Macaca fascicularis: one gene and its partners. The protein of the gene in region 1 purifies or fractionates together with the protein of each later gene. This does not show direct contact. Links are inferred from orthologs where the notes say so. Each region holds a gene or a part of one and is shown on either strand. Other genes may lie near its edges. The genes, in order: DROSHA, SRPK1, DDX5 and DDX17.

Evidence for each region.
Region 2: the proteins of DROSHA (region 1) and SRPK1 purify together in Homo sapiens (affinity purification with mass spectrometry; 3 studies listed by BioGRID and IntAct, counting the BioPlex papers as one, with this or other methods). This does not show direct contact. The link is inferred for Macaca fascicularis from reciprocal best matches to the Homo sapiens genes DROSHA and SRPK1.
Region 3: the proteins of DROSHA (region 1) and DDX5 purify together in Homo sapiens (co-immunoprecipitation; 4 studies listed by BioGRID and IntAct, with this or other methods). This does not show direct contact. The link is inferred for Macaca fascicularis from reciprocal best matches to the Homo sapiens genes DROSHA and DDX5.
Region 4: the proteins of DROSHA (region 1) and DDX17 purify together in Homo sapiens (co-immunoprecipitation; 3 studies listed by IntAct, with this or other methods). This does not show direct contact. The link is inferred for Macaca fascicularis from reciprocal best matches to the Homo sapiens genes DROSHA and DDX17.

Annotation. Positions count from the first base shown.
Region 1 is NC_088380.1:31,975,894-31,983,627, reverse strand, and holds the end of DROSHA (ribonuclease 3), read left to right. Parts: coding exon of another isoform or gene 1-39; exon of another isoform or gene 40-79; intron 80-4,244; coding exon 4,245-4,375; 3' UTR 4,376-4,650; downstream 4,651-7,734. UniProt on the Homo sapiens protein: Ribonuclease III double-stranded (ds) RNA-specific endoribonuclease that is involved in the initial step of microRNA (miRNA) biogenesis.
Region 2 is NC_088378.1:135,748,052-135,756,440, forward strand, and holds the start of SRPK1 (SRSF protein kinase 1), read left to right. Parts: upstream 1-3,597; 5' UTR 3,598-3,639; coding exon 3,640-4,241; intron 4,242-4,610; exon of another isoform or gene 4,611-4,675; intron 4,676-8,389. UniProt on the Homo sapiens protein: Serine/arginine-rich protein-specific kinase which specifically phosphorylates its substrates at serine residues located in regions rich in arginine/serine dipeptides, known as RS domains and is involved in the phosphorylation of SR splicing factors and the regulation of splicing.
Region 3 is NC_088390.1:71,093,987-71,102,175, reverse strand, and holds the start of DDX5 (probable ATP-dependent RNA helicase DDX5), read left to right. Parts: upstream 1-3,117; 5' UTR 3,118-3,246; exon of another isoform or gene 3,247-3,515; intron 3,516-3,766; 5' UTR 3,767-3,909; coding exon 3,910-3,953; intron 3,954-5,155; coding exon 5,156-5,321; intron 5,322-5,676; coding exon 5,677-5,773; intron 5,774-5,881; coding exon 5,882-6,015; intron 6,016-6,126; coding exon 6,127-6,192; intron 6,193-6,428; coding exon 6,429-6,570; intron 6,571-6,651; coding exon 6,652-6,812; intron 6,813-6,898; coding exon 6,899-7,071; intron 7,072-7,426; coding exon 7,427-7,537; intron 7,538-7,749; coding exon 7,750-7,811; intron 7,812-7,899; coding exon 7,900-7,959; intron 7,960-8,189. Other genes in the region: CEP95 (centrosomal protein of 95 kDa), read right to left, coding at 1,296-1,424, 2,888-2,906. UniProt on the Homo sapiens protein: Involved in the alternative regulation of pre-mRNA splicing; its RNA helicase activity is necessary for increasing tau exon 10 inclusion and occurs in a RBM4-dependent manner. Binds to the tau pre-mRNA in the stem-loop region downstream of exon 10.
Region 4 is NC_088384.1:13,153,161-13,160,824, forward strand, and holds part of DDX17 (probable ATP-dependent RNA helicase DDX17), read left to right. Parts: intron 1-695; coding exon 696-829; intron 830-1,130; coding exon 1,131-1,196; intron 1,197-3,441; coding exon 3,442-3,583; intron 3,584-4,027; coding exon 4,028-4,188; intron 4,189-4,271; coding exon 4,272-4,444; intron 4,445-4,964; coding exon 4,965-5,075; intron 5,076-5,324; coding exon 5,325-5,386; intron 5,387-6,986; coding exon 6,987-7,046; intron 7,047-7,664. UniProt on the Homo sapiens protein: As an RNA helicase, unwinds RNA and alters RNA structures through ATP binding and hydrolysis.

The DNA of each region.
Region 1 (7,734 bases):
GAGCCTATTTCTTTTTCTATAATTATGTTCATCATGTAATGAGTGTTTTATGGAAAGAAAATGAGGAGGGAGAAAAATGGTAAGTACTGATAAAATGTGATTTTGTTTTCTTCATAATTATTCTTCACACAGAGAATATAGTAGAATGTGAGACATTCTAAAATGGACTTATATTTAAAAATGAAAGTATTCCTGAATGCTTTTTGATTTGCATTTTCCTTTTTTGCTTAGAGTCCTAATCTCAGCGTGGGTGACCTGTGTGAATAACCTGCTGTGTTTTCTTGTGCTTTTTTTTTTTTTGAGATGGACTTTTGCTCTTGTTGCCCAGGCTGGAGTGCAGTGGCACAATCTCGGCTCACTGCAACCTCTGCCTCCCGGGTTCAGGTGATTCTCCTGCCTCAGCCTCTCCAGTAGCTGGGATTACAGGTGTCTCCCACCACGGCCAGCTAATTTTTTTGTTTTTTTTGTAGAGACGGGGTTTCACCATATTGGCCAGGCTGGTCTCAAACTCCTAACCTCAGATGATCCACCCACCTCTGCCTCCCAAGGTGCTGGGATTATAGGCGTGCGCCACCGCGCCTGGTCTGTGTTTTCTTTCATACATTTCTGTATTCTCTAAAATCCTGTAACTGAAAAGAATACATGTGAAGGTTTTTTCTTTTTTGTTTTTGGCCATTGTTTTATTAAATGGGCTGTTATTACATACTTCTCTATACCTTTCTTTTTTTGCTCAATAATGTATCATGAGCAGCCCTGCAGATTATAGAAAACAGCTCCAATTCATTCTTATTGGCTGCATAATATTTCCTGCTAGAGGTGTGCTATATTTTATTCAGCCTTTTTATTATTGGTGGACACTTTTTTTTTAATCATCATTACCAACAAATGTTATATATTGGTGCTTTTTAGTTGTGTGGAATAGGTTCCCGGGAGTGGGATGCGTGGGTTGAAGAAACTTCAATTACATGATTGACCTTGTAGGAAATTGCATAGTCTTTTGTAAACTGAAGGCTTAAGTGCAAGGGATTTTTCTTCTGAGGTCTGTTGTGCTGCACAGCAGAACCTGTGGGCACAACATGACAGTGCAATTCTATTATGCTTCAAGTACCCCGCTAAATGAGGTAGCAGACAGTACAGTGCGGGAAGCTAAAAGTGAAGAGGCCCAGAATCTTCAGGCATGGGAGAGATTCCAGGAAAGGCAAGCAGGCTAAGAGCCAAGTGGAAATCAGCAGATAAAGGTTCCTGTTCGGGGGCAGGGAGGTTAGTGGGAACAGAAGCTGGTACTGCAGGGTCCAGCATCCATGGATTCTTCACAGAGAGTTTTAAGTTGGCTATTAGGAACTTCATCCATTGTACATATAAATTTGCAGTCAGAGTGAAATAAAAGTGTGATTCCATTTTTTGTTTGTTTTCGACTATAAAACAGTACTGGAGAGATCACCTGTTCTGAGACAGGCCTGCATATCCATACTGATAGGAGTGAGTTGTTTAAACTACTGGAAAGCAATTGGGCAGTATGTAGCAGGTCCTTAAAGAAGTTCATACCCTTGGTAGGCCAAGGAAAGAATCACTTGAGGCCAAGAGTTAGAGACCAGCCTGGAATATAGTGAGTCCCTGTCCTTACAAAAAATTTAAAAAAATAAAATAACCCCAAAAACATTAGCCAGGCTTGGTGGCATGCACTTGTAGTGCCAGCTACTTGGAAGGCTGAGGCCAGAGGATCACTTGAGCCCAGGAGTTTGTGGCTGCAGTGAACTATGATCATGCCATTGCACTCCAGCCTGGGCAACTGAGTGAGAACCCTGTCTCTTCCCCTCCTCTCCAAAAAAGTTTGTACCATGAGAATCATGACAACTTGATTTATAATAGCAGGAAAAAAAATCAAACTGCGTGTTTAAGAGTAGGAAAATATTTCATAAATTTTGGTATATCCCCGGGTTAGGAAACATTTTCTGTAAAGGACTGGATAGTAAGTATTTTAGACTTCCCAGACCATACAGTCTCTGTCGCAATTCTTCAACTCTGCCATTGTAGCCCACTGGCCTGGACAGTATGCAAACTAATGAGTGTGTCTATTTAATGGGTGTGTCTACCAATAAAACTTTATAAAAACAGATGGATAGCTGTATTTGGCCTGTGGGTAGGAGTTTACCAACCCTTGCTATATCCAAATGTTGTATCCATTAGTGGTTTTAAAAACTAATGATATGAGAAAATGCTTATACTAGAATAAGAAAGCATACCCTTATTAAATACATACCTATACTGTACTTTCCGAAAGAGTAGATAGGAAAATGATTTTAAATGTTCAAGTGTCTAGGTATATGTGTGTGTGCATGTGTATGTACACACACACACACATTTACACTGCATATATATGTAGTATAGCTTCATAAAGGCCATAAGGATATATTTAAAAAGTTTTATCAATAGTTAAATCTGAGTTGTGTTTTTCAAATGCAAATTTGATTTTACAGTAGAATTTACTGGGGATTATTACATACTTCTGTACTACTGAGGAAATAGAGTTCATTTTGTAGAGACTTGCTTTACAGTTAACTCAGTGGGATTTATTTTTTAAAAAGTAGTTATATTTGAAACCTACATAAGGAATAAATTTTATCAGTTCAGGAATAGGATTTTATTACTGTTTTATTTCCAAAATACAGATGTCATGTTCCTCTTTTTTAAAAAAATCAATCTCTGGGCCGGGTGTGGTGGCTCATGCCTGTAATCCCAGCACTTTGGGAGGCTGAGGCAGGAGGATCACTTGAGGCCAGGAGTTTGAGACCAGCCTGGCCAACATGGTGAAACCCCGTCTCTACTAAAAATACAAAAATTAGCTGGGTGTGGTGGTGCATGCCTGTAATCCCAGCTACTTGGGAGGCTGAGGCAGAGAATCACTTGAACCTGGGAGGCGGAGGCTGCAGTGAGCCGAGATTGCACCACTGCACTCCAGTCAGGGCGTCAGAGTGAGTTTCCATCTCTAAATAAATACATTAGTTAATTAATTCAATCAATCTCTGACTCTCAGACATATCAGGTCTTTGCTGATTCCCCACCTGTCTTTCAGATGCTTTTCCTACTACCCTGTCCTTTCTTCAACCTACTGTGAGGATGGTACACTATACAATTTAGGGATAGTGTAATATAATAGGGATAAAAGAATTTAGGATATATTATACAGTCATCTCTCCTTATCCTTGGGGGATACTTGACCCCAGTGGATGCCTAAAACTGAACATTATGTACGCTGTATTTTTTCCTACATGTGCAAAATTTAATTGAAAGATGAAATGTAATTTATAAATTAGATACAGAAAGAGATTAACAATAAATAAAATTGAACAGTAACAACATACTGTAATAAAGGTTGTGTGAATGTACTCTTGATTGTATGCTGTGTCTGCTGTCTCTCAGAATATCTTATTTTACGTTACTTACCTGTTTTCAGCCCATGGTCGACCACAGGTAAATGAAACCATGGAGAGCAAGATCACTGATGAGGGGCCTGCTGTCTTATATGTAGATCAACTTCATTATGCATCATCCTTAAAGGAAATAAATGAACTTGCCCCCAAGCATGCCATGCTCTCCTACATCTTGGATTCTTCATGTGTTTGAAACATGAAGTTATATGTCCGCTTTGACTCAATAAGTTTTCTACTTGAGTTACTTTTGCAGATACAGTTTTGGGCCTGTCATTGTAAGCTTAAAAATTAATTATCAGACATAATGACTTAGAATGTGGCCTCTTTTTGTCCACCTGATCTTTCTTTGCTCTTTTCTGAGACTTTAATTCTTGGTAAATAATGGTGTCATAATGTCATTTGTTTGAAGTTTTTAGTTTGAGCTTTTCAAAAACTGTGACTCCATTTTACTGTATCCTTTCATCTCTCCCTGAAAGTCACCTGTTGCTAGGAGAGTGATGCTAAAGCACCTGCTTAGTAACATTCCCAAGCCACATGTCTGTGTTTTGACATTTCTGTATGTTCGATGCCTGTTATACTCAAGTTCACATCAGATATTGAAATTTACAATCGGGGTGCTCATCCAGGCTTCTGATGTGTTTTTGAGTGATGAAAGAATAAGGGAAGAAAACAACTTTCTATCTTGTGCCTTACGAAATATAATTATACACATTTCATATGCATGTATATTTGTATGTGTATATGTTTAGTTGCATCACTCTTTGCACTAGTGGCTATCCTTTATTAAATATAAAATATATTTCCTTGTGTCAGATAATTTTCCCCAGATGGCCCATCAGAAGCGGTTCATCGAACGGAAGTACAGACAAGAGTTAAAAGAAATGAGGTGGGAAAGAGAGCATCAAGAGAGAGAGCCAGATGAGACTGAAGACGTCAAGAAATAAAGGAGGGCATGCAAGTGTGGAGTATTTACTTGCTCAGTACTGTGACTGTTGTCTATTGAGACCTAGCCTAGTTTTCCTACAGACAATGAATGAAGTGTGCTCATTGAAATAAAATACAAGTCAAATTGCTGTTGTTTTAATGATCTGTTTTTAGCTGGATGGTCTTTATTACAAAGGATTAGATTTTTCTTCTATTTAATGGAAAACTCGACTTTGGTGAATGTGCATTACTTCCTTTTGTTTTGCTCTTTAAATAATAAAATTCAAGAAGCATATTCTATGTGGAATAGATCCTGTTTTTTCCATCTCTGTCCCAGATTGTGACCCTAGACTTTCAATTGACAAGTAAAAAATTGACTTTACTAGACATTTTGACTATGCTCTATTAACATCTATACTTTTTCAAATCTCTGGATTTTTAAGTAGATTGTTCAGCTTTCATCTGGTGGCTGTTGTATCAAGTTCTCAGCTGCAAATATTGAACTTACCTGTCTCTAAGCAGTGAGTGTTTTGTAGAAGGAATCCGTTTAACAATTAATTGGCTAATGGGAGAAGAGGAAAGACTGATATTCAAGTCACATAGATTCTCTGAATCATTAGAATAGGAGAGAAATCATGATTCTAAGCCAGGCCACACTTTAAACCAAGTGCTCTCACCCTGAGGTTAGTGGAACCTTTAAGAAGGTAATGAACAGACTTCAGGGAAGTCAAAACCTCCCAATACCAAATTCCATTTTCTGTGTGTGTTTGAGATTTGAGAGGGCATGGGGAGCAGGAAGGAGGAGGGTTTAGAGCTTTTATCAGCCTCTCTAAGTGGGCCCTGCAGTAAAAGGCTAACATGACATTAAAAGACATGATATTTTTTAAAAAGTTATTTAAAACTAAATATCACTGGTTTCTTATTAATAAAGGCAAAACTTCTTTGTAAAACAAATCTGTTTCATTCATCATTTCAGCAAATATATAGTGAATGCTTCCTATGTATCAGACACTGCTCTAGTCTCTGGGGCTATAGCAGTGAAGAGGTCCTTGAGGAGCTTGGGTGCTAGTGCAGGAACACCCACAACAGACCAAGAGCCCAATGGCAAGAAATAAAGCAGGGACTTGTGTTTGCAGTTTTCAATGAGGTGTTTGAGGAGTTCTCCCTAAAAAGGTATCATTTAAGATGGGAAAGAGGAGACGAAGTGAACCCTTCAGGTATCTGGAAGTATTTCTTATATAAATATTAAATGTTACATATGTATTGTCAAAATTTTGACAAATGGACTGGGCACGGTGGCTCACGCCTGTAATCCCCGCCCTTTGGGAGGTCGAGGTGGGCAGATCACTTTAGGTCAGGAGTTCGAGAACAGCCTGGTCAACATGGTGAAACCCCATCTCTACTAAAAGTACAAAAATTAGCCAGGCATGGTGGTGGGTGCCTGTAATCCTAGCTACTCTGGAGGCTGAGGCAGAAGAATTGCTTGAACCCGGGAGGTGGAGGTTGCAGTGAGCCAAAATTGCGCCACTGCATTCCAGCCTGGGTGATAGAGCAAGACTCAGTCTCAAAAAAGTTGAAAAATATATTACTTTTATTAGCAGGAGAAAGAAACAAATGTTGCTTAGAAACTATTACGGAAAAAATAGAAAGCATAAGCAGAAAGATAAATCACTTATGATTCCATCACCCAGAGAATTATGTCCTGTTGGACTGTCTTTGTACTTAAATACACACATGCACTCGTGTGTTAACAGGATACCATACATATGGTTTCCATAGCCTTTCTAACTTCTTAAAATAATATGAATATCTTTGTGCGTCGATTTCACATTTACATAACATAGTTGTTGACGGCTACATAGTAATGCACATCATAATTATATGCCAATTGTAGATATACTGTATTAACCAATCTCATAAAAAATGTATAGGTTGTAAGCAATTTATTGTCATAGTGCTGCCACATACCTTTTTGAGGGTGTGTATACACACACACACACACACACACATATTGGAGAGAGAGATACCTCTAAGATGTCTTCATTTGCTAATTATAAAAATGTAAGGTGGTGCCTTTAAAAAAAAAAAAAAAAAGGCTTGTCCTGATGCCCTTCCTCCCCACCAGTGATGCCAGGAGATCACTAGGGAAGGAGGAGAGAGAGCTCATTTTTTCTTCTTTTTTTTTTGAGATGGAGTCTTGCTTTGTCACATAGGCTGGTGTGCAGTGGCGTGATCTTGGCTCACTGCAACCTTCACCTCCCGGGTTCAAGCAATTCTCCTGCCTCAGCCTCCCAAGTAGCTGGTTACAGGTGTGCACCACCACGCCTGGCTAATTTTTGTATTTTTAGTGAAGATGGGGTTTCACCATGTTGGCCAGGCTGGTCTCGAACCTTTGGGAAAAAGCTGAGTGTTGGGAGGAAAACTGAGGCAGGGCTTGCATAATGTCCTCTGGAATGTGTCTAGACTTGCTGGCTCCTTGCTTCTAGCCCTCCTAGGTTCCTATTCCCATTATCTCAAGTAGCAGAACAAGTTCTATATAAATGATAAACCATCACAGCTGTAAATCATGTGCTTAATGCAACGTGTCCTTTTGACCGCCACATTCTCACCACCTGTTTCTTTGTTGGATTACCAATAAATACCATGGGCTTCCAGAGCTCAGGGCCTTCACAGCCTCCACAATAGCGATGGCCCCCCTGGTGTCCCACCTTTCTCTCTTAAACTGTCTTTTTCTTAACCCTTTGACTCCGCCGAACTTCGTTGCCCCCACGACCTGGTGTTGGGTCTGATCACCCCAGCATCGAACTCCTGGCCTCAAGCGATCCACCCTCCTCAGCCTCCCACGCTACTAGGATTACAGGCATGAACCACCGCGCCTGGCCAAGAGAGCTCACTTCTGAGCTATGTTGGTTTTGGTACATCTACCACCCTATTTGGTGCGCTCTTTCTGAGCATTGTATTTAAGTTACATGAGCAGCAGACAGCAGGACTGGAAGGAAAAGAACGCTGATGGCCTTGAGAATGTTGCCAGCAAAAGCAAAAAAGCCAGGGAAATAGTTGAATTTTTTAAAAATAAGCACTTTTACTACTCTTGAATTGCATAAAAATAATGTCAAAGCCGACATGCTTTTCAGGAATTTCTGTTGGACCTTGACTTTTACTCTCTGTAGCACTTTGACCCTTTTCAAGTTCTCTGTCCGTATTAATGGCTCTTGAAACCTGGAGAAGTCAAGTCCAGAAAATACTAAAGTACCTCTTGTAGTGGAACCTGCCACACACATCAGTGCAGCGTAGCTCTCAGGGTTCTACAGAGCAACAGTGAGGCCGACACTAAATTCTGTAACTAGCTAGCCACATAGGCCAACTCAGCAGGTCCCTG
Region 2 (8,389 bases), on another chromosome or scaffold:
TATGAACTCAACTTTAGACGTTCAGACTTCAAAAATGTCAAAGAAGCATTAGAGAAGATTCCAGGGCAGTCTTAACAAGTAAGTTAGCTCAAAAGGGATAGCATCTTTTCAGAAATTAAATTCTGAGACGATCCATGAGCAGCCAAAAATATGATGGGTTATGGTTTCTGAATACCTCTACTTTTAAAGGGACTTGCAGGAAAAAAAACAGCAATGGAGAAGGGTATGCATGTAAGAATGAATAGCTACCACTTTTTTTGTCCTTTTTTTTTTTCCCTTTTTGTGCAGAAAGGGGTCTTGCTGGATTGCCCAGACAGGTCTCTAACTCCTGGATTCAAGGTATCCTCCCGCCTCTGCCTCCCTAAGTGTTGGGATTACAGGCGTGAGCCACCATCCCTGGCCTATACTGTTTTTTTGTTTTTTGGGTTTTTTTTGAATTATTTTTGCTACCGCTTTTAAGAACAGTTTCTGGGGAGCCTAAGGCGAGCAGATTGTTTTAGACCAGGAGTTCCAAGCCAGCCTGGGTAACGGGGCAAAACCCCATCTCTACAAAAAATACAAAAATCAAGTGGATATGGTGGCATGTGCCTCTAGTAGTTCCAGCTACTGGGAAGGCTGAGGTGAAAAAATTGCTTGAGCCTGGGTTGCAGTGAGCTGAGATTTCGCCACTGCACTCCTGCCTGGGTGACAGAGTGAGACCCTGTCAAAGAAAAATAAATAAATAAATTCTGGAAGGGTAAAAGTCCAGAATAGGCCAAGTTCTGCAAACTTGGGAGAAAAAACTGATTTTAAAGTTAGATTTAAAGCAAAATGCACAAAAAGGGGATGGTTGTAGAATAGGGGAAATGAACAAACTTACTTATATGAACAATTATAGAGATCTTAGACAAAGTGGAGAGCCAAAACATGATGGAGGAATAGAGAAAAACAGATGGACAAAAAAGAGAAATGGTCAATTCTGGGAACTCAGTCCAGTGAACTTCACATTGACTCTGGAAAAAGTCTGAAAATGAGTTATCAAACAGATGGTTAGTAAGCTCTTAGAGAAGCAACAGTCACTCAGAGTCAGAATAGGTACGACTGTCTCATGCTAAGCTGAACATATTTCCTTTTTGATGGGTCTGCAATAACCAATTCAGATTTAATACAGCTCTAATATTGTCCCTCTCAGTGTTTTCTCTTTCATCCTGACATTTCTCATAAACTGCAGATCATTTATTCTTTTTTTTTTTCTTTTGAGACGGAGTTTCGCTCTTGTTGCCCAGGCTGGAGTGCAATGGTGCAATCTCTGTTCACTGCAATCTCCGCCTCCCAGGTTCAAGCGGTTCTCCTGCCTCAGCCTCCCAAGTAGCTGGGATTACAGGCATGTGCCACCACGGCCAGCTAATTTTGTATTTTTAGTAGAGATGGGGTTTCACCATGTTGGCCAGGATGGTCTCAATCTCTTGACCTTTGATCTGCCCGCCTCAGCCTCCCAAAGTGCTGGGATTACAGGCATGAGCCATGGTACCCGGCCCATTTATTCTTTTATTAGACAAATATTTGAGCACCTACTAAGTGCCTGACACTGTGTAGGCACTGAGTATACATCAAGGAAAATCTAAGCAGGGTCTCTACACTCAAACAGTTTACTTTGGGGTGGGCAGTACTTTCCCAATTCTGGGATTTTTCCTAGCCATCTGCTCTCTCCCTGTCTTTTCTAAACCACATGTGGTTATCCTGAACTCACACAATCCTCAGAGTCTAGGGCTTCCCTGTCTGTCCTAACCTTCCTTTGTTTTCAACTTTACAGCAGGGAATAGACTGGGCTGCATCCTTCCTTGGCCAACAGGTACTGTCTTCTTTTGCAATATACCCAGACATGCTATCATTCAGGTTCCATGCAACATATATCAATTATCTAAATTTCAAATTTGGCTAACCTGCCTTTCCAGCCTCACCTTCCATTTCATCCCTTCAGTTGTTACCAGCCCCAATCCTAGCCCCCACCTACAGGTGTCCATGTCTGTGCCTTTTTGCTCAATGTATTTTCTCATTCAGGAATGCCTGACATCTCCTTCTCCGCCTACAGAAATCTTATGTATTTCCTAAGACCCAGCTCAAAAACGGCCTCCTCTGTGGATGGGCTTAATTACTTACTTTGCTCAATAAGTCCTGCCAAAGCCCCCATGCTTGACTTGTGCTGTACTATTGCCCTCTCATCTTCCCTTCTCAATTACTTGTTTAGAGCAAAGGTCTTCAGAGCTTCCACTCTGACCAGCTGTGGTACTTTACAATAGGGGCTGGTAAATTAAGATCTGAAATAAGAATAGTTAAAACGGTTGAAAAAAGATCAAAAGGGCCTGGCTCAGTGGCTCACACCTGTAATTCCAGCACCTTGGGAGGCTGAGGTGGGAGGATCACTTGAGCCCTGGATATCCAGGCTGCAGTGAGCCGAGATCATGCCACTGTACTCCACCTGAGTAGCAGAGCAAGACTACTCCTCTTTAACCCTCACCTTCCCTTCAAAACCTAACAAAGGCCATGTTTAAATCAATAGAAGAACATTTTATGACATGCGAAAATTATATGAAATTAAAATTTCAGTGTCCATAAATAAATCTTTATAGGAACAAAGTCCATATTTTCTATGACTGCTTTTGAGCTCCAGTGGCAGAGTTGAGTAGCTGAGAAAGAGATCTTATGGTCCACAAAGCCTAAATATTTACTATCTGGCCCAAAGAAAAACTTTGCTGAGCCTGCTATACAATAAGGGCTTGATGATTAAATAACTGGGTCGTACACCAAGATTCTGAACATATAGGCAGGTCCTCTTAAGTTTAGTGTCTTTGTGTAATGGAAGTAATAACTATTTTGCCTTTAAGTTGCCATAAACATAAAATGAGATAATGCACTTAGAAAAGTAAAAAAAAAAAAAAAAAAAAAAAAAAAAAAAAAAATCTCATAAACAAGACAACTTTATCATGTATTGAAGGTGGTAGAATAAGAAAACATTAAACGTTTTTATTCTCATTTCCCTTTCTTTCCTTTACAGCTTTCATTTAAACTTGAAATTTCAAGAGAAAATTCACTTTTGAAGTTTTTACTTTTCAAGTGATAATAGGGTCACAGGTTCTTTCCTTCCAGTCTTTCTGTGTTGCTCCCACTCCCTTTTCTTTCTCACATGTAATTTTTTTCCATTTTCTTTAAATAGTATCTCAACTGGGCTCACAATAGCTCAGGGAAGGAGAAACTGGGACATGCCTGATTAATCCATTTTACAGGCCAGGAAACTGAGGCAGATCCCAAGCCTCTGAAGCTCTGACTCAGCAGCATGCAGGGAGCCCTGCCGCTCTCTGCGCCTTTTCTAAGCAAATAGAACAAAACTAACCTTGCCAGGTTTCCAAGCTTGGATCTCTAACACTCCTTCAACGTTCACCCCCGACGTTCCTCCTCTCAGCGCCCCCTCCCTCTCCTTGCCGCCCCCTCCTCGGGAGCAGGTGGTAGGCTCCGCTCCCGACGCGCATGCGCGCGGCACGGTGGGGCGGGGGCGGGGCGGGACTGGGGGTGGAGTGTGCGCGGGCTCGGTTTTGGGCCGCGGCGGGAGCTGGAGTCACCGCCACTCGAGTGCGCAGGCGCTTGGCGGTTACCGGTCTCACCATGGAGCGGAAAGGTGAGCGGTGGAGCGGCCTCCGCCACGAGGGGCAACGGCCGCCGGGGCGAGGCCCGGGTCAGCGCCCGGAGCTTCGCCTAACTGCCGCGGTTCGGTCCCCGGGCTTGCGGCGCCCCTCCACTGAGGTGGCGCCGCCCCACACCCCCCGCCTCTGGGCTGCGGGTCCGCGCCCCTCAGCCCGGGCGTCCTCCGGCGCCGGCCGTCGCCGCCCCTTGTTCCCTGCCAGGCCAGCTTGCGCCTTGGGGCCACTCCAGGGCCCGGACCTTGGCGGGCGAGGCAGACCTCCGCCCGCCCGCCCCCTGACCCGGCCTGAGACCCCTCCGGCGCATCCCGCCCGGGCGCTGCTCTGTGCCCCGTGGGCCGCCAGCCCCCCGGCCGGCCGCCTTGCCGAAGCCTCCGCGCTCGTACCGCAGCCGCCCCTGAGACAGGCCCCGCAGCCGGGCCTGGCGCCCCTGCTGGGTCTCCACCCTCACCTTGGTCACCTCCTTTCCTCCACATTTGCCCTTCATCCATCCCTCTCTCCTGCAGTGCTTGCGCTCCAGGCCCGAAAGAAAAGGACCAAGGCCAAGAAGGACAAAGCCCAAAGGAAGTGAGTCTTGTACCCCAACATCCCATTCTTTGGATTTTCCTCCGGCACCTTCTCTGCTCTGGTTTCGCGTCTTGAATGTGCACAGGGTTTGGGCACCCTGTGGCCGCAGCCACATGGCCTCGGGGCAGCTCGGAGGGTCGCTCTCCAGCAACCATGTGGAAGAGAGCTGCTGTTGCTGAACGCCAGGCCTGGGTCTTAGCAGCCCCAGGCCTGCTGGAAAGGGCTGTCGGAGGAGGACCAGAGCCCGCCCGGTACCTTTCCTCCCCAACTCCACAGAGGAGGCACAAACTCCCCTAGCTTGGACCCCCCCCCACCGGAGCTGGTAGATCATTATCGTTCTGTTTCTGAACTCTGGTCTCTCTCTCTTACCTGCTCCCCAACGTCTTAACTTGCCTCCAACGTCTGCACGGTAGGCCTTAAGGAAATTCTTGAATGAGTTTTTCCGTGTTTACTTTGGGTTCTACCAACCACACACTCCCTTTCATAGAGGAGGGCATGGGGCTTTTCTTTGGGTTAGTCAACTTCCTGAACCTGCAAGGCACATCGGCTTTTTTGCACTGTGCCGGCAGACCGCTGTGTATACAGTCAGTGTCTGTTAACTGCTTCTCTTCTGTCTAAACCTCAATCAAATGCAGATAATCTTCCGGAGTCGGCATCACTATAGTAACGGGAGAGTTCTTTAACACACATCGATGGTTCTGGTTTGGTGTATTAAGCGCCACATGTCCAGTTTTATCAGTGGGATGCATAACAGTAGTTTAGTGCTATCGTGGCAAGTTCAAAAGTTGGTCACAGCCTAATAGAAACTCAGGTAGCAGGCTTCATTCAGCAAGTGAGGCTAAGCCTAAAGAACTTTCATCATGTACTAACGTTTAACTGCAAAGGGTCTTGGAAATCAGCTCTTGGAAATCATCTCTCAGAGAGAGATTCTATGCCTAGTTCTTAATTTTAAGATGTATTATCTTTATACTTTTAAATTTATTTGATTTTTTTGGCGTTGTATGCGGTCTAATTCCCTCTGAGTTGATACAACACATTTCAAAGGCTTTCCTAGGTCACCCCACTGAATGACAATACCAGATTAAGGGGGGCGTAGGGGTGTGTGTTGTTTTTGGAGGCTACCTACTGTTTGGGGAGAGCACCTAATGACTTCTGTCTTTCAATAGAACTAAAGTGGTAGGTGACCTCACCTCTTGCTCTATTTTCTATTCCGTCTTATGAAATATATTTTGTAAGTGCTTGGTGACGAAGGTTTGTAAATGGTGAGTTTGTGTGTGTCTGTTTGCCTTTGGATTATCCGTATATGGGATTATTCAAAACCATTTTTTAATCCTAGATTGTTTAATAGAAACAGCAAGGTGCTAACTTGGTTCTAGTGTGCAGTAGGAATTGAAATGTTAGTTTTCTGTGCCTAGTTGAGTTATTCTTTGTGGAATTGATAAGAATGTGTTAAAACGTTCTTTTCTATTGATACGAGGAAGTTGCGGTTTTTATTATATTACTGTATTTTTTAGAAATCCTGGTCTCTCAGACCATTTGTCCGGATCTCTCTTACCACTTGGAAATTAATTTGAGATTAGCCCAAATCAAGCTATAATTTGAGGGGCAAATGTATATAGGTGATCATATACTTTAAGCACCAGATATCTATTACTTCCGATTATCTATTTAGACTATATGCTTTATTTCTAAAGCCAAATATATGTATATCTGTTACCCCATTCACTACTATGGATAACTTAGAGTTATTTGTGTTGTTAATTGTTTGCAAGTGTGGATTATAGATAACGTAGCAGTCATTTTACTGAATATTTTATCTTGAACAACTTTGACTCCTGAAAATATGCGTGAATGAACTGCCCCATTTACTTGTAATTTCAGAGGTGTTTTATTTTTGGTTTTGTTTCCAATTAATGCGTTTTTGCGTTTTTTTGTTTTAAATTTACCTTTTTATTCTTTTTCTTTTTGAGGCAAGTTCTCGCTCTGTTGCCCAGGCTGCAGTTTAGTGGTGCGATCTCGGCTCACTGCAACCTCCACCTCCTAGATTCAAGCAATTCTCTTGCCTCAGCCCCCCAAGTAGCTGGGACTATAGGTGTATGCCACTACGCCTGGTTAATTTTTGTATTTTTTGTAGAGATAGGGTTTTGCCATGTTGCCCAGGCTGGTCTCAAACTCCTGAGCTCAGGTAATCTGCCTGCCTTAGCCTCCCAATGTGCTGGGATTATAGGCGTGAGCCACTGCACCCTGCCCTTTTTTTTCCTTTTTCTTTCTTCCTTTTTGTTTTTCTTTCTTTCTTTCTTTGGTATCCCAGCCTCCTTTTAAGTAGCTGAAATGTCTAATTAAGTTGGTTAGAGTACTGTGTCAGAAGTTCAAGCCTCAACTAACTCAGATAACTTGACTCTGTTCCATGACTTCTGATTGCACGCCTGATGACTTCCATTTACTTTGCAAAGGCAAGCTGCTAGTTGCAGAAGGTGAGTCAGGAAGATTTGAGGAAGAAGCATGCCATAGAGTTTGGTCTTTGGAGATAGATGTGGTTTTGAATTCTGATTTTGCTACTGTTTAGCAATCTGACCTTAAGACAAGTTGGTTAAGGAAACAGTCTTTTTTTTTTGAGACGGAGTCTTGCTCTGTCGCCCAGGCTGGAGTGCAGTGGCCGGATCTCAGCTCACTGCAAGCTCCGCCTCCTGGGTTTACACCATTCTCCTGCCTCAGCCTCCCAAGTAGCTGGGACTACAGGCGCCCGCCACCTCGCCCGGCTAGTTTTTTTTTTTGTATTTTTTAGTAGAGATGGGGTTTCACCAGGTTAGCCAGGATGGTCTTGATCTCCTGACCTCGTGATCCGCCTGTCTCGGCCTCCCAAAGTGCTGGGATTACAGAAGGAAACAGTCTTATGTATAAAACTGACTGGCAGTTTAGTCATAATGAAAACTGATCAGGACCTAAAGGTATAAAAACTAAGCATTTAAATGAAAATTTCAGAAAGTTTTGGAAGTAATACTTTTGGAAGTAATACTTAGGCTTATTTACAGTAAATAGCATCCTTAGTAGTCTAAATAGTCTGACTAAATAGTCGTGTTGTGTCACAGGCAGAAGGGATTTTCAGTCCCCTGGTACTGTAGATCTTAAACCCAGGGTCTTGAAGCTGGTGACAGAAGAACCAAAACTTGGAATTCAGGGTCCCTTTCCAGCTCAGTGTTTGTTAGAGTGGATTTCCTTTGGGTTCTTTTTACTGTGCTGGAGTATTTGACTTTTGGGATTTTTAATTTTCTTATTTAGACAATTCCTTCTTAGTTTTACTTTTTCGGACACTATGCTTTTATTTACTAACATTAACTAGTTGGTGATGATCTCCGTTTTACTTTACAGATAAGAGAATTGAGGTTTGTCAGATTACTCTCCTAGAAAATTGCAAAGCTAGGATTTGAACCCAGGTCTGACATACCGAAAGCCCTGGTTACCAATCATGTGTTTCTAAGTGACAGACCTTTTGGTGTGTCTTACAACAGGTAAGGTAGAAGCTGAGTTGAAAGAGGCTTCTGAATGAGAGACCTCCGTATGCTTGGGGGTTTGGGTGCCCTTTCATGACCTACTGTCCTGTGTCTATGAAACAGCACAATCATCTATCTCCCTCTGAGCATTTGTTCTCAGTGTTTATACCAGTAGCTGTGAGCCTTTATTTGTTTGTCATAAGCTTTTATAATTTAACAGTCTATGTCTGTTTTTGTTTTGTTTTGTTTTTTGAGACAGGGTCTCTTGTCACCCAGGCTGGAGTGCAGTGGCGTATTCTCAGCTCACTGCAACCTCTGCCTCCCGGGCTCAAGCGATTATCCTGCCTCTGCCTCCCAAGTAACTGAGATTACAGGCACCTGCCACCACGTGGGCCCAGCTAATTTTTGTATTTTTGGGGGTAGAGACAGGGTTTCACCATGTTGGCCAGGCTGATCTCAAACTCGACCTCGAGTGACCCACCTTGGCCTCTCATAGTGCTGATACTAGAGATGTGAGCCACCGTGGCTGACCTATATGTCTGCTTTTGAAGTTATTTCTATGGAATGTAATTCCAAAATGGATTTCATACTTACTGATTTTATTACTTTATTAGGAAGTTAGTTTGGACGGTAATTTTCACTTTATTTGCAGTTAAA
Region 3 (8,189 bases), on another chromosome or scaffold:
AGTACAGACTAAAATTAATAAATCCTGAACTCTACACAGCAGAATCTTTATTGGTTATTTATTGATTGAACCGATTTATCAATTTTGGATATTGACTGAATATTTATTACACCATTTATATATACATATATATATGAACATGCTTTACAAGAAGCACCATGTTAAGGAAGATAAAGTGGCCCCTACATTCAAAGAGAGCTAATAGTCTAGTAAGGGAGCCAAGACATGATACTTTAACCCATAACTATGGGCTGCTTTCTACGAGAGGAAAAAAAAAAACAACACAGCAGGCATTGGAAGATTATTTTATATATATGTATGTTTGTTTATTTATTTATTGAGACAGGGTCTCGCTCTGTTGTCCAGGCTGGAATGCAGTGGCGTGATCTTGGCTCACTACAACCTCTGCCTCCCCGGCTCAAGCAATTCTCTTGCCTCAGCCTCCCAAGTAGCTGGGATTATAGGCGTGCACCACTATGCCTGGCTAATCTTTGTATTTTTAGCAGAGACGGGGTTTTGCCATGTTGGCCAGGCTGGTCTTGAACTCCTAGCCTCAGGTGATCCACCTGCCTCAAATGATCAGCCTCCCAAAGTGCTGGGATTACAGGCGTGAGCCACCACGCCCGGCCCTTATATGTCCTTTTGAGTAGCCAACTGGAATTATTGGTATAAAGATTTAAAATGTCAGTACAGGCTGGGCATGGTGGCTCATGCCTGTAATCCTATCACTTTGGGAGGCAGACAGGGGAGAATCACTTAAGCTGAGTTGGTACCACCCTGTTCTTGAACATAGTGAGATGGGGAGCAAGATGAAAGGATATATACGCTTATTAACTGTCTTGGTAAATTAGGTTCATCAAGTACAAATATCAATTCTTACCCCTAACACTGGTTAAGTGACAGGATCCAATAAATTCCCAAGTTCCACTCAATTTTACAACCTTTGAAGGTACATTTTCAGAAAGGATGCAACTTTCACAAGGCATTAGCCATGATTGGATTAACCAGTGATTATCAGGAGCCCTCAAACTGATCTGCTCAAGGCCATTATTGAGTGGATTCCACAGGGTATTCCTTAAGGAATATAATATAATTAGACAATACGCAATATTAAATACCATTTAATATACGATATTTAAATATTGTATATTAATATATAATTTAATATGCAATATTAAAAAATATATAGGCAAAGAGAAAATGAAATGTTATAAATACCAAAGCATCTAACTAAAGGACCAAAAACTTCTGACCTAAGATATAGGCAAAATTACTCCTGCTTTTAGTAGTCTTACCTGGTACCTTTTCTCCCAAAATAGACTGATAAAGGGCAATAAAAACATTAGCATCACAGTCTTGAAGTTCATGTATTCTCAGATGTATATGACACTTAAAAAGAAGGCTATTGGCAATGGTTACCCACTCTGTTGGGAAAAAGGGGGAAAGATCAGTCTTAAATACCACCAGAAAAAAATCACACACCCATTCAAAAAATCCAACAACCTCCCCACCCAGAAAAAAAAAAAGACACTGAACTTTGTAGAAGATAGGGAATTTGATTGTTATAGAATTTCAAAGACCCGTTAGGCATGATTTTTAAAAAGATGTATTTAATTTCTTGGGATGATTTCCAGAGTGCTGTAATTTCTATACAGTCAAAACTATACTGCAAATTCAACTGTTACTGTTGCAGCCTAAAATCTTAAGTTACTTATATAAGCCTTACGTGGGTGTTTTTAGTTAAAACATGTTTACAAGTAAACAGGAATATTATGTCATAAGCAACAGTTTAATAATAATCTGAAGTTACTAGACAGTCATTAATAAAATATGTTGCTTCAAACTCCCAACAGTATTGGTCATGTGTTTACCCAATTATCTTGTGCAAGTCAGGATTTCTCTGGTGCCCAAATAAGTGGTGATTAAACTTAGGCTGTTAAGAACTGGCATAATGACAACATCAACACTAATGCATTTCTTAGTTTTTCTTTTTTATTATATTGATCTACATGAAACAAAATATTGGAAGTACATGAAGCTCAGAATTATCAATACTGTTGACGTTTCCTGCATACCACATTCTCCTCTCCCCTAGATATTGCTGGGATTTGCGAAGTTTAACAGTTTCTCTACCAAAAGCAACTTAGCTTAAAATACTTGTTCCTTGAAATGCCTGACGATTGGTAGGAAAGCACTGGCAATCGATATTAGAAACAAACATCTCCACTATGTTCTGGACACATGACGTTCTGGAAACGAATGAGAGTGTATCTTCCAGGCACATAATCCCCCCTCTCCAAGCCCATTTCTCACAACTGGCCAAACCATGACAACTGGTTTGTACGCAGTCCTAGTGAAAAGGATGAAAGCGTCCTAGACAACCAAATTAATTCGCTCTTCAAAAGCGGTGCTAGACAAAGCCCATGACTCTAGAGGGCACTGAAGAGAAAAAAGCACCACTATTCTTCTGTGGCAGGGGCATGAATAAACCTTAAGAGTGCCGTTCCTTTAAAGACCACTACAAAAGGAGGTACGACCTCAGGGCCCATAGTGCAAGGGAGGAGGGCACATGGACAGCGGCTAGACGCCCCACAGAAAGACAAGTCCGAGGACGACCCTTCTGACTGCTCTTTTTGCAGCCAGGACCCGAGCGTCCTACCGGCCTCGCCCCAGTGCCTCTCTCCCACCTCATACTGCTGTTCCACGGCCTCAAAGCGAAGAGGGGGTGAAGCTGAGAGACCCTATCCAGAGAACCCGCCACCGCGACGCAGCGTCTGACAGTAACGAGCCCCGCCGACACCCCAGACCCAGTCCGGGCTAGCCCGAGGCCTCCCTGAAGGTGGACAGTTTCAGTAAACACACACCGCGACCCCAGGGAAACACTCACCAGCCTCCGAGCGGGCCATGTCTCGGAAGCAGGTCGCCGCCGGACTCCGACGCTGCCAGACCGGCGACGGTGTCCTGCAAGGACCGAACGCAGAGCAGACGCTGGGGGGCGGGCGCACGAACTAAAGCGCGGGGAAGGAGGCGTGAAAGAGGGAGGGACGTTAAAAGAACTTCTCGCCGCTGATTGGTCATCAGAGGAGCACTTCCTTTCACAGCACGTGCCACGGAAGCGGTTTGGGAAGTTTAGAGACCATTCTCCGCCGGCCAAAACCCGTCACAGGATTGTCAGACCCGTGGGTCGGACGGTCCAAGTTAGCCGGCAGCTGGGGGCGGGTCCCGGGTGCTGGCAGCGCACTTCCGGTGAGCTATTTCGTTATGTATCCCTCCGCCGACGTCAACGGGGAAGTAGTGCGGCCCCCTGTCACGGTGGGCGGTGGGGGGGTAACGTCACGTGACAACGCCAGGCCCCCGCCTTCCCTCTCATTTGGTTACAGGCGTGAGGGCTCTTTGGAGACGTAAACACCTCCGAGTGGGGAGGGTGGGCGGGCTTGGGCTGGCTGTTTTATCGTCTGGCTGGGCTTGGGAAAGGGCAGGGTGGCTTTCTTGAGGTGTGGAAAGACGAGAAGAAGGTGAGGTCAAGAGAGTGGAGAATGAGGCATTTCAATGGTGGGTGGGCCCTGACCTGAGAGAGCGGCACGGGGTGGGGTGAAAGCGCGGCGATCGCGGAACGCCGGCGGGCGTTGCGGCCTCTGCGCGAGGGGCGGGGCGATTAGGTCATAGAGCGGCTCCCAGCGTGCCTTGCGGCGTAGGAGGAGGTCCAGACTATAAAAGCGGCTGCCGGAAAGCGGCCGGCACCTCATTCATTTCCACCGGTCTCTAGGTGTGCAGCTTTGGCTGGTGTCATCGCCGTCACTCCTCCGCTGCCGCCCCCGCAAGGCTTCGCCGTCGCCGAAGCCATTTCCAGCGACTCGTCGCACCCTTTTCTATCTACTTCGTTCCCCGCCAACCGCAACCATTGACGCTATGTCGGGTTATTCGAGTGACCGAGACCGCGGCCGGGATCGAGGGTGAGTGTGGGAGCCGAGTTGTCAGGGCTGGCGGGTGGGGGATGGGAGGGCGGGTCAGGGTGGCGGCGGGCCGGGGCTTTGCGGCTTGGACTCGGCCTTTCCGGGCTATCTTGGGGCCTCCTTTCCCGAAGGCTTGCGCCATTTTGATATTCACGTAACAGTGAGTGGGAGAGATTTGACGGGATAGTGTCTTCATCCTCGCTTTTTGTGTGGGGGTCGGGGAGCCGTCGGGGCGGCTGCCATTTGGTAGCTGTTGAGGGAATTCAGAGGGAGCGCATTGTTCGGATGAAAGCGCGACGCTTCGAGGCAGACGAAGGAACAGCTGTTAGGTGCGGCCTTTCGGGAGGTGTTTTTGGGGTGGTCGGGCATTCTGTGGGAGCGAAGGGACCACCTCCAAAGCCACTGGTGCTGTGGGGGTAGGAGGGCGGCCGGCATCAGCCATGTGGCTGAGTCGCGGGTATAAAATGCCGGCCTTGGACATGGCGGCGGCGCCTTTGTTACTCCGCCCGGCGGAGGAGCTCAAAATGGCAGCGTCGAGAAAATGTGGCGCAGAGAGAAATGCGAGACAAAGGGGGAAGCGCCGCCCCAGCGGGAACGCCGCCCGGCCGGCTCCGCCCGGGCCGGGACTCCTCCCCCGGTAGTCGCCGGCTCCTCCTTTTCTTTTTTCCTGCGTTATATAATTTTAATTCGTTGATCCGGAGCTCTACCGCGGCGTCCCCCCAGCTCGGTTTGCTAGCAGAAGTGTTTCTAAACCGTTGTTTCGTTTTCGTTGTCTGTGCTGTCTAGATTGTTGACATCAAAGCTCTTTGGCTTGAAAACGGCCATATGAGTAACATCGTTGTGATGCTCTTCGGTTCATGTAGGCTTGTTATCACTGATAATGAATTGCTAGACTGGTGAGAAAGATAATAGTAACCACAAGAAGTGGTGTGTAATACTAAATTCTGGCATCTGGGTGACAAGTTTTCGATATAGTAAATCCCAGGCTGTTTACGTGGCCTAAGTTGTGTGTACTTGGGACTACGGGAAACGTTAACTGTGGCTGTTGAGAGAGAGATTATCACTAAGGACAGTGCTAGGTTTACCTCTCGAAGTCGGCTTTCAGTGATCTTTAGCTTGTGCCAAGGGATGGTAAACAAATCTGTCCAGAAACCTAGGTGTAGCCATTTGAAAATGTAAATAACTTTTTTTCTTCATTCCAGGTTTGGTGCACCTCGATTTGGAGGAAGTAGGGCGGGGCCCTTATCTGGAAAGAAGTTTGGAAACCCTGGGGAGAAACTAGTTAAAAAGAAGTGGAATCTTGATGAGCTGCCCAAGTTTGAGAAGAATTTCTATCAAGAGCACCCTGATTTGGCTAGGCGGACAGCAGTGAGTAAATTCATGTGGCTTCATCAGGCTGTAACTCAATGGAGTCTAGTAAATGAAATTCTGACAGGTGTTTTGCAAATAACTCAATTTTGGTAGAGTTACGTTTTCTGACTTCATAATTGGGAAAGGTGTGACTCACTTTTGCAAATAGGTGGCTTTGGGAATTTTTTTTTTTAGATTGAGTATAGCAGAATAAACGGTTTTTTTGTCATATAGGGTTTTCATACGCGGTTCCAGATTAAAATGAAGCTACTTTAAACTAATTACTAAATTATGAAGTTACGGACTTGCCAATTACGTATTTAGTTAGGGGTGGTTGTCATGAGCTTTAAGACTGTTATAATTTGTTTTGCAGCAAGAGGTGGAAACATACAGAAGAAGCAAGGAAATTACAGTTAGAGGTCACAACTGCCCGAAGCCAGTTCTAAATTTTTATGAAGCTAATTTCCCTGGTGAGTGCTACTTTTCAGTTCTACCCTACCCCTGTGTTTTTGTTTTCACCTACCTCCTCCTTTCCTTGGCATCACTAATTTTTGTTAAATATCTGTCACTAATTATAGCAAATGTCATGGATGTTATTGCAAGACAGAATTTCACTGAACCCACTGCTATTCAAGCTCAGGGATGGCCAGTTGCTCTAAGTGGATTGGATATGGTTGGAGTGGCACAGACTGGATCTGGGAAAACATTGTCTGTAAGTTTGAGAGAACTCTTGATGTAATATGTGCAAGAAAACGGAATGCTAATTTAAAAACAAGAGTATTTTAATGTGATTTCTGTTTGTCCCCGTCTTCACCCCAAATAGTATTTGCTTCCTGCCATTGTCCACATCAATCATCAGCCATTCCTAGAGAGAGGCGATGGGCCCATTGTAAGTATATATTTTTAACTTTTTATTAGAAGTGTAATATATAGATTTTTAGACTACATAGCAAAAGATGTAATTATTTGTGGTGGTTTTATACAGAGGTTAGCTCACCCTATTCAGCTGGAGTTGCTTTGGGTATTGGACAACACATGAAGAAAGGATCTGCCATCATAACTAATAAGTTAATAGTTTAAAACTAGTATCCAGGTTTGTGCTGAAAGCTGTTTCTCTTTCCTTAGTGTTTGGTGCTGGCACCAACTCGGGAACTGGCCCAACAGGTGCAGCAAGTAGCTGCTGAATATTGTAGAGCATGTCGCTTGAAGTCTACTTGTATCTATGGTGGTGCTCCCAAGGGACCACAAATACGTGATTTGGAGAGAGGTCTGTAATGAAGAGAGTTTTATTTGTTATTGGTGCTAAATATTTTAGGTATTATAGTTACACTTACGTGTTTAATTAAAGGTGTGGAAATCTGTATTGCAACTCCTGGAAGACTGATTGACTTTTTAGAGTGTGGGAAAACCAATCTGAGAAGAACAACCTATCTTGTCCTTGATGAAGCAGACAGAATGCTTGATATGGGTTTTGAACCCCAAATAAGGAAGATTGTGGATCAAATAAGAGTAAGTGTCCTTTGAAATATGTGATCAAATTCAATTCTATTTTCACTTTTAGTCTGACACTAATTTTTCCCCCCAAAATCCATTAGCCTGATAGGCAAACTCTAATGTGGAGTGCGACTTGGCCAAAAGAAGTAAGACAGCTTGCTGAAGATTTCTTGAAAGACTATATCCATATAAACATTGGTGCACTTGAACTGAGTGCAAACCACAACATTCTTCAGATTGTGGATGTGTGTCATGACGTAGAAAAGGATGAAAAGTAAGTTTTATTAACTCTGTTATATTCGCTTCCTAACCTTGCTAAAATTGAGGGATCATTGTTATTTCAGTTGGTGTGATTTCGTTTAGTTAGCCTATTAATCCTTCTGAAAATATCTTGAATTCTTCAAATAATGATTATCACCGTTTATAGTTTTCCTATAGAAGGAATTCATGTGTCCCCTGGTTGACTTAAGGACCAAGGGTCGAACTACTACATAAGTGGGTTAGCAGGTGTTTCCTCTTTGACTTCCAGCCATGTAAATTGAACTTAATGTTTTGCTGACCATAAATGTGGGGCCCTACCAATGGTCTTTTAAAACTCAGGATTTTTCCTTTCTCTCTCCCATTATTAGACTTATTCGTTTAATGGAAGAGATCATGAGTGAGAAGGAGAATAAAACCATTGTTTTTGTGGAAACCAAAAGAAGATGTGATGAGCTTACCAGAAAAATGAGGAGAGATGGGTATGTGTGGGCTCCTCCATTGAAGCAGATTTTTTTGTAACTGAGCTTAGGAAAGGGCAAACTTGGATCAGGAGCAGTGGATATCTGATAATATAAGTGAATTTAATTCTTTTTAATTTCTGGTGAAATTAAAGAGATCTGTGACAAGACGTGGTTAAGCACTGGAGTCTGAGGTTTTCAATGTGAGTTTTATGATACAACTTGTCTTTTAGGTGGCCTGCCATGGGTATCCATGGTGACAAGAGTCAACAAGAGCGTGACTGGGTTCTAAATGGTAAATATTTCAAATGAAGTTTTTTTCCCCCCTTACTTAGCTAGAATTCTGCTCAGATAATTGATCATGTATATGCCTTCCTTTGTAGAATTCAAACATGGAAAAGCTCCTATTCTGATTGCTACAGATGTGGCCTCCAGAGGGCTAGGTTAGTACAAACTCGCATTCATGGCTTGGTTTCCCAGAAGATCTCCATTTAACTTTTTTAAAGAAAGTTTATTGCTTTCTTTAACCTCTGCATTTTTTCTAAGTTTTTTTCACATAAAGGTGCTGTCTTTGTGGCAAGGCCTAGGCATGACAATCGGAGGACTCGAGGGGGATGGAGGACTAGTGATCGGCTGGCTGCTTCCAGTCGATTAGAGAGGTGAAAAAGCTGAA
Region 4 (7,664 bases), on another chromosome or scaffold:
TTTTATGGTCGTCAGTTCTTTTGTTCTTGTATTTAGACTGAGAAATTTTTTTTTAAGGTTTTTATCTTTTTCTAGGGTTTTGCCCTCTGCCTTTTAGAAAACAGCAGAATGAAATTGCTTTCTAGCTGGACATGATGTGAATTTGGTAAACAATAAATGACTACCATGTTCCCATGTCCTGTTAGATGCTTTAGGGTAACGGTTTTTCAAATTTCTGAGAGAGGTAGACTATTATAGCAGCTTTTTTTTTTTTTTTTTAAACGGAGTCACAACTTTGTCACCCAGTTTGAAGTGCAGTGGCGTGATCTCAGCTCACTGCCTCCTCCGCCTCCTGGGTTCATGCGATTCTGCTTCACCTTCCCGAGTAGCTGGGTTTACAAGCGCCCGCCACCACTCCTGGCTAATTTTTGTATTTTTAGGAGAGACAGGGTTTCACCATGTTGACCAGGCTGGTCAACTCCTGACCTCCACTGGCCTCAGCCTCCCAAAGTGCTAGGATTACAAGCGTGAGCCACCTAGCCTGGCCCAGAGCAGCTTTACGGTAAGCTAGTCGGAGATCCAGTAGATAAAGAAAACACTGTGGAGAGATGAAGCTGGGTAAATCTTACTTTAGTGAGCTTAAAAGTTTTTTTAAAAACTCTTTTGGTTTGTGCCCTTAAACACAATAAAATGTGTAAAATAAAATTCTCTTACAGAATATGTAATGGATGTGTTGATGGATCAGCACTTTACAGAACCAACTCCAATTCAGTGCCAGGGATTTCCGTTGGCTCTTAGTGGCCGGGATATGGTGGGCATTGCTCAGACTGGCTCTGGGAAGACATTGGCGGTATGTATGAGCAAGAGAAGATCCTTGATATTGTGGTAACTTATTTTGCTATTCTGATTATCATGCGTTCTCAGTTCTTCATAGAAATGCTGTTCAGATAGTGTAGGTACTATTTTAGGTATTAAATATATGAAAGCATTTTATGTTCAAATTTGCATCGCCTGCTGTATGTGGCAATGGTGAGTTCTGTTTTTCACTTTCCTATTTATGCATTAATTCAGTAATTACTAAGATAGTATTAAGTATCTTAGTAAGATTGTACTTCTAAGTATAAGGTTGTCATTCTTTCCCTCCTCCACAGTATCTCCTGCCTGCGATTGTTCATATTAACCACCAGCCATACTTGGAAAGGGGAGATGGCCCAATCGTAAGTGTGTTTCAGTTTCTTTGTAATTCTAAGAAAAACTACAATTTAGCAACTATTTAGGCATGGTGGTTTACATTATCCATTTGTACTCTTCACCACACCCTCCATATATGGAAATGGTTTCATTCTCATCTTACTTGCAGTTAAATGACTTACCCAAGATCACTCAGCAGTTGAATAGCTGAGCTTACATTTGAACCAAAGTCTTACTCCTAAAGAAACTATGCATGCTATATGGGCACTTACTGTGCAGTAAAGTCAAGTGTTTTCTGGGTGTTTTTTTGTTTGTTTGTTTGTTTGTTTGGAGTTTCGCTCTTGTTGCCCAGTTGGAGTGCAATGGCGTGATCTTGGCTCACCGCAACCTCCACCTCCTGGGTTCAAGCGATTCTCCTGCCTCAGCCTCCTGAGTAGCTGGGATTACTGGCATGTGCCACCATGCCCAGCTAATTTTGTATTTTTACTAGAGATGGGTTTCTCCATGTTGGTCAGGCTGGTCTCAAACTCCTGACCTCAGGTGATCAGCCTGCCTCAGCCTCCCAAATTGCTGGAATTATGGGCATGAGCCACTGCATCCAGCTTTTTTTTGTTTTGTTTTGTTTTTTGTTTTTTTTTTTTGGGGCGACATAATCTCACTCTGTAGCCCAGGCTGGAGTACAGTGGCAAGATCTCAGCTCACTGCAACCTCTGCCTCCCAGGTTTGAGCCATTCTCCTGCCTCAGCCTCCTGAGTAGCTGGGATTACAGTGTACACCACCACGCCCGGCTAATGTTTGTATTTTTAGTAGAGATAGGGTTTCGCCATGTTGGCCAGGCTGGTCTGGAACTGTTGACTTCAGGTGATCTACCTGCCTCGGCCTCCCCAGGGTGCTGGGAGCCACCACGCCTGGCATTGAATGTGTACTTTTTTTTTTCTTTCTTTTGAGACGGAGTTTTGCTCTTGGTTGCCCACGCTGGAGTACATTGTTGGCACAATCTCAGCTCATTGCAACCTCTGCCTCCCAGGTTCAAGCGATTATCCTGTCTCAGCTTCCCAAGTAGCTGGGATTACAGGCATGTGCCACCACACGCGGCTAATTTTTGTTTTTTTAGTAGAGACGGGGTTTCACCATGTTGGCCAGACTGGTCTCGAACTCCTGACTTCAGGTGATCCTGCCTCGGCCTCCCAAAATAATGGGATTACAGGTGTGAGCCACCACGCCCGGCCTACTTTTTAACTTTAAGAATTAAGCTTGCATTTGTCGTATGTATTTATGAACATGTACAGTATGTCTCAAGATATTCACAAAAAGAAAGAATGCAGTACTTTATATAATACATAGTATATGTCTGATAGCATTATTAATTAATATCTAATGGATCAGTATACAAAGCAAGTTTCATAATTTGGTATATGATACCTTGATTTTTGTATTATTTGGCCAGATTGTACACAGTTTTGTCAGATTACATGTAAATTTTCATTGTTTTTGCCTTATCTGCCTGGTGAAGTGCTTAAACTAGAGGTCAGGAATGTGTCCTTCTGCCAGTTTTGTGACTTCTAGTTTAAGTCAGGTTGACCATCCAAAATTTCAAATTTTAGGCCAGGCACAGTGGCTCACACCTGTAATCCCAGCACTTTGGGAGGCCAAAGTGGGCAGATCACGTGAGGTCAGGAATTCGAGACTAGCCTGGCCAACATGGGGAAACCCCATCTCTACAAAAATACAATAATTAGCTGGGCGTGGTGGCGCATGCCTTCAGTCCCAGCTACTCAGGAGACTGAGGCGCAGGAGAATCATTTGAACCCAGGAGGCAGAGGTTACAATGAGTTGACATTGCACCACTGCCCTCCAGCCTGGGCGATAGAGTGAGACAAAACAAAACAAATCCAAATTTTGAGGACCAATATGATTCTCAAAGTAATGCTGGAACATTTTGGTTTTTCGGGTTTAGGGTGCTCAACCTGTAAATGAGAATTGTATACTTAAAATCAGGTAATACAATCTGTATACGTACTTAAAAGTACATATAAACTATAATGATTTGATAATGTGTCATAGTAAAAGTGACGAGGATACCAGTATCATTCCAAATGCTAAATATGAAGTTCTAATAATTTCTTCTACATTCCATTGTACTAATATTCCCTCCTTCTGATCTTCACCCCATCACTTTTAATGTACTAGATTAGACAACAAAGATTTTTGGTTTTTTTGTTTGTTTTTAAACCTTGGGTGGGGTCTCAAATGTCTTTTTGTTGATTTCAGTGTCTAGTTCTGGCTCCTACCAGAGAGCTTGCCCAGCAAGTACAGCAGGTGGCCGATGACTATGGCAAATGTTCTAGATTGAAGAGTACTTGTATTTATGGAGGTGCTCCTAAAGGTCCCCAGATTCGAGACTTGGAAAGAGGTAATAAAATAATATCGTGTAAAAGAATTGTTAGTTTATCTTTACCAATTCCTGTGGATGAAATTGGAGAAAAAAGTGGGTTCTTGTGAAAAACTGAGAATTTCAGCAGCTTAGAAATTCTCACATGTGACCAAAATAACTATTTTGAGAGAGAAAGTTCAACATGACTGGAAACTTTGTGAGGATTTGGTGATTGTACATAAATCCCGACATCATGCTTTTGCAGGTACTTTGTTAAAATTTAGCTTCTCTGCAGCATTGAGTACAGCCACCAGGGCTGGTGCTGCTGCGTTTTTGTAGAGTCGGGGTCTTGCTATGTTGACCAGGCTGGTTGTGAACTCCCGGCCTCAAGCTATCTTCGCGCCTCCACTTCCCGAAGTGCTGGAATACAGGTGTGAGCACTGCACCTAGCTGATTTGCTGGATCATTGGTTTTGTTTTACAGGTGTTGAGATCTGCATAGCCACTCCTGGACGTCTGATAGATTTCCTGGAGTCAGGAAAGACAAATCTTCGCCGATGTACTTACCTTGTGTTGGATGAAGCTGACAGAATGCTTGATATGGGATTTGAACCCCAGATCCGTAAAATTGTTGACCAAATCAGGGTGCGTAAAACTAATAATAAGCAGTCTTTATGCCATTTGTCCAAGCTCCTTAGCCTGAAAGAAAGCCTTTCCTTTTTTGATAGCCTGATAGGCAGACGTTGATGTGGAGCGCAACCTGGCCAAAAGAAGTAAGACAGCTTGCAGAGGATTTCCTTCGTGATTACACCCAGATCAACGTAGGCAATCTGGAGTTGAGTGCCAACCACAACATCCTCCAGATAGTGGATGTCTGCATGGAAAGTGAAAAAGACCACAAGTATGAAAGAGATTTTACTCTCTGATTTGATAATACCAATAAACCTTTTCTATTAATAACCCTCCAAAATCAGTATTACAGAAACCAGTATATTTTGAGGCCTGAAAGCATTAAAAGCATTGCTAACTTTCTGATAATCCATCTTTATGTCATTTGTCAGAGCATTATGGTTAAATGCAAGGATTCTGAATTCTTGAGTTTGAATCTCAGCTCTGCTGATTACCAGCTGTATAATTTTGCACAATTTTATGTCTTGGTGCCGCAGTTTCTTCATCTGGGACATGGGAATAATACCACTCACTTGAGACTTGCTGTGAGGATGGTATGAGTGGTATGAATTAGTATTTCTTGAGCACATAGCAGAACCTGACTCAGGACTCCATATTAATGTTGGTTTAAAATTTTAAAAACGTAATGTGCAAAGAAAGTACTATAGCTTTGGGAGTTGATATTGTAGACATAATCTTCCACATAATAGATACTTTCTGTGTGATGACTGCATTGTTGGTCTTGTTTTCAGATTGATCCAACTAATGGAAGAAATAATGGCTGAAAAGGAAAACAAAACAATAATATTTGTGGAGACAAAGAGACGCTGTGATGATCTGACTCGAAGGATGCGCAGAGATGGGTGAGTATAGCACCAAGGCAGTTAACCTCTGGTTTTATAGTTAACTGGAAATTTCTAAATTGGTATTCCAAATGCTGTGTAATATTTCAATAATGCCTATCCATGCAGTTTGCTCTTTAAATGAGCACAGTCATCTATTCATGAAGCCTGACAAACCTTAAAAAAATTGCATTATAGCATTTGGCTTTAAAGTTTGATTTTCCCCATTTTAAAATATTTTTTAAATATCGGTTATTTTTCTTCTGATAGTTGGCCAGCTATGTGTATCCATGGAGACAAGAGTCAACCAGAAAGAGATTGGGTACTTAATGGTAAGTTTAAGCATTTTTTGTTGATTTTTTTTTTTTTCCCACCATAAGTGAATGTCCATGCTCTATTTCAGGGATAGGCAAACTTTCTGTAAAGGGCCAGATAGTAAGTATGCTTGGCTTTGTAAACCAAATGGTGGTCTCTGTTATAGCCACTCAGCGCTGCTGTTTTAGGACAAAAGCTGTAGGCCATAGATAATATGTAAAGAAATGGCCTAGACTGGGCACTGTTGGCGGCTCATGCCTATAATCCCAACACTTTGGGAGGCCGAGGTGCATGGATCACCTGAGCCCAGGAGTTCAAGACCAGTCTGGGCAACATAGTGAAGTACTGTCTCTTTAAAAAAAAAAAAAAAAAAAAAGGCAAAACAAAACTTAGCCAAGCTTGGTGGTGCACGCCTGTAACCCCAGCTACTCCGGAGATTGAGGTGGGAGGATTGCTTGAGTCTAGGAGACAGAGGTTGGAGTGAGCCAAAATCGTGCCACTGCACTCCAGCCTGGGTAACAGAGTGGGACCATGTCTCAGAGATAACATGGCTGTGTTCCAACAATATTTATTTGCAAAAGTGGGTGTTGTGCCAGATGTGGCCCAAAGGCCTGTTTGTCTTGCCCCTGCTGTATAGTTAATTGAATTACTGAGGGCACTTTTAGTATGTGCTCATGGTCCATGATGCTGGCTCTTTCAACTTTGTCACAACTTTCACCACCCTCCCTTTATTAATAAAGTCTTCAATTTTTTCCTTCTGATTGTAAAAATATAACTATCATTTGGGGAGAATTAAACTGTTAGTGAAATATTTTTTTTAAAATGCTTCTCAATTATTGAGTCATATTTTAGCATATTTCCTTTCAGTCCTTTTTTTCAGGACTACTCTTAAGGGAAGCCATTGAGAAATGGAAGAGGCCATATCTTATTTAAGAAATAATATGCAGCTGGGCGCGGTGGTTCACGCCTGTAATCCCAGCAGTTTGGGAGGCTGAGGTGGGCGAATCACCTGAGGTTGAGAGTTTGAGACCAGCCTGACCAACAGGGAGAAACCCCATCTCTACTAAAATACAAAATTACCCTGGTGTGGTGGCACATGGCTGTAATCCCAGCTGCTTGGGAGGCTGAGGCAGGAGAATCGCTTGAACCCGGGAGGCGGAGGTTGCTGTGAGCCGAGATTGCGCCACTGCACTCCAGCCTCGGCAATAAGAGCGAAACTCCATCTCAAAAAAAAAAAGAGAGAAAAAGAAATAATATGCATACCTCTTGGGGGGAAATTCAGTTCTTTTCATTTCGTATCTTTTAAACTTGTTTCCTACCAAACCCCAGCTTTTGATTGTGTCTCATTTGGGAAATAACTTCAAGGGGAAAAAATTCTAGCTCATATTAATTATGTAACAAATTGCCACACTATCTTAACAGTATTTCGTTATTAGTAGAGGTGACTATTGTACTGCTGAAGATGAGTGTGATAAAGGTTTTCAAAAGAATAACTGTCTGTCATTATAAGAGCCTGGGATTTTCTGACACCATTATTTGAAATTTTAACATGATGATGTAAACAGATCAGATAGCTAGGAATGCTTATTTGATGATGATTATTGTTTGTTTTTACAGAGTTCCGTTCTGGAAAGGCACCCATCCTTATTGCTACAGATGTAGCCTCCCGTGGGCTAGGTTTGTATAGATAGGCGTCTCTGTCAATGGTATATGTATCTTTTGGTTTAAAGATTTGTCATTTCAAATTCAAACTTCAAGTTTAGAAAGTTGTATATACATGTGGTTAGATAAATATTTGAAAGAAAAGAATACAAAGCGTGATTCTCCCCGTTCCCCGCCCCCCACAATTTTTTTTAAAACCTTGGTTTCCCCCACCCCCCTTTTATTTTCAGATTCTCTTCCTGCTCCTAACAAACAGGCTTTGGTCTGCAGCAAGGCCTAGGCATGACTATACAAACAGGGAGAGGAGGCAGTCAGTTGAATGGCTCAACTTCTCTCTGGTGGTGTTTTCTGGCTGGATAGAATAAGCCTGACGAAACCTAGCTATTGTAAGCTAGTTTCTTCAGTTATTCTTTTCCCTATCCCTGTCTAAGTTAGATATATACAGAGGTCCAGTTTTATGAATGCTTACTAGATGGAATGTTATAAGTCTAATGCAGTATCAGAATAGCAATCAAATTTGTATTGCCCAGTTTAATTTACTGACGTCAAATTATCATGGGCACTTGGCTATCCCCTCCTCCTACCCATACACTTATCTATAGGTGTGTTATCCAACCGATAGTTTTCTGGAGT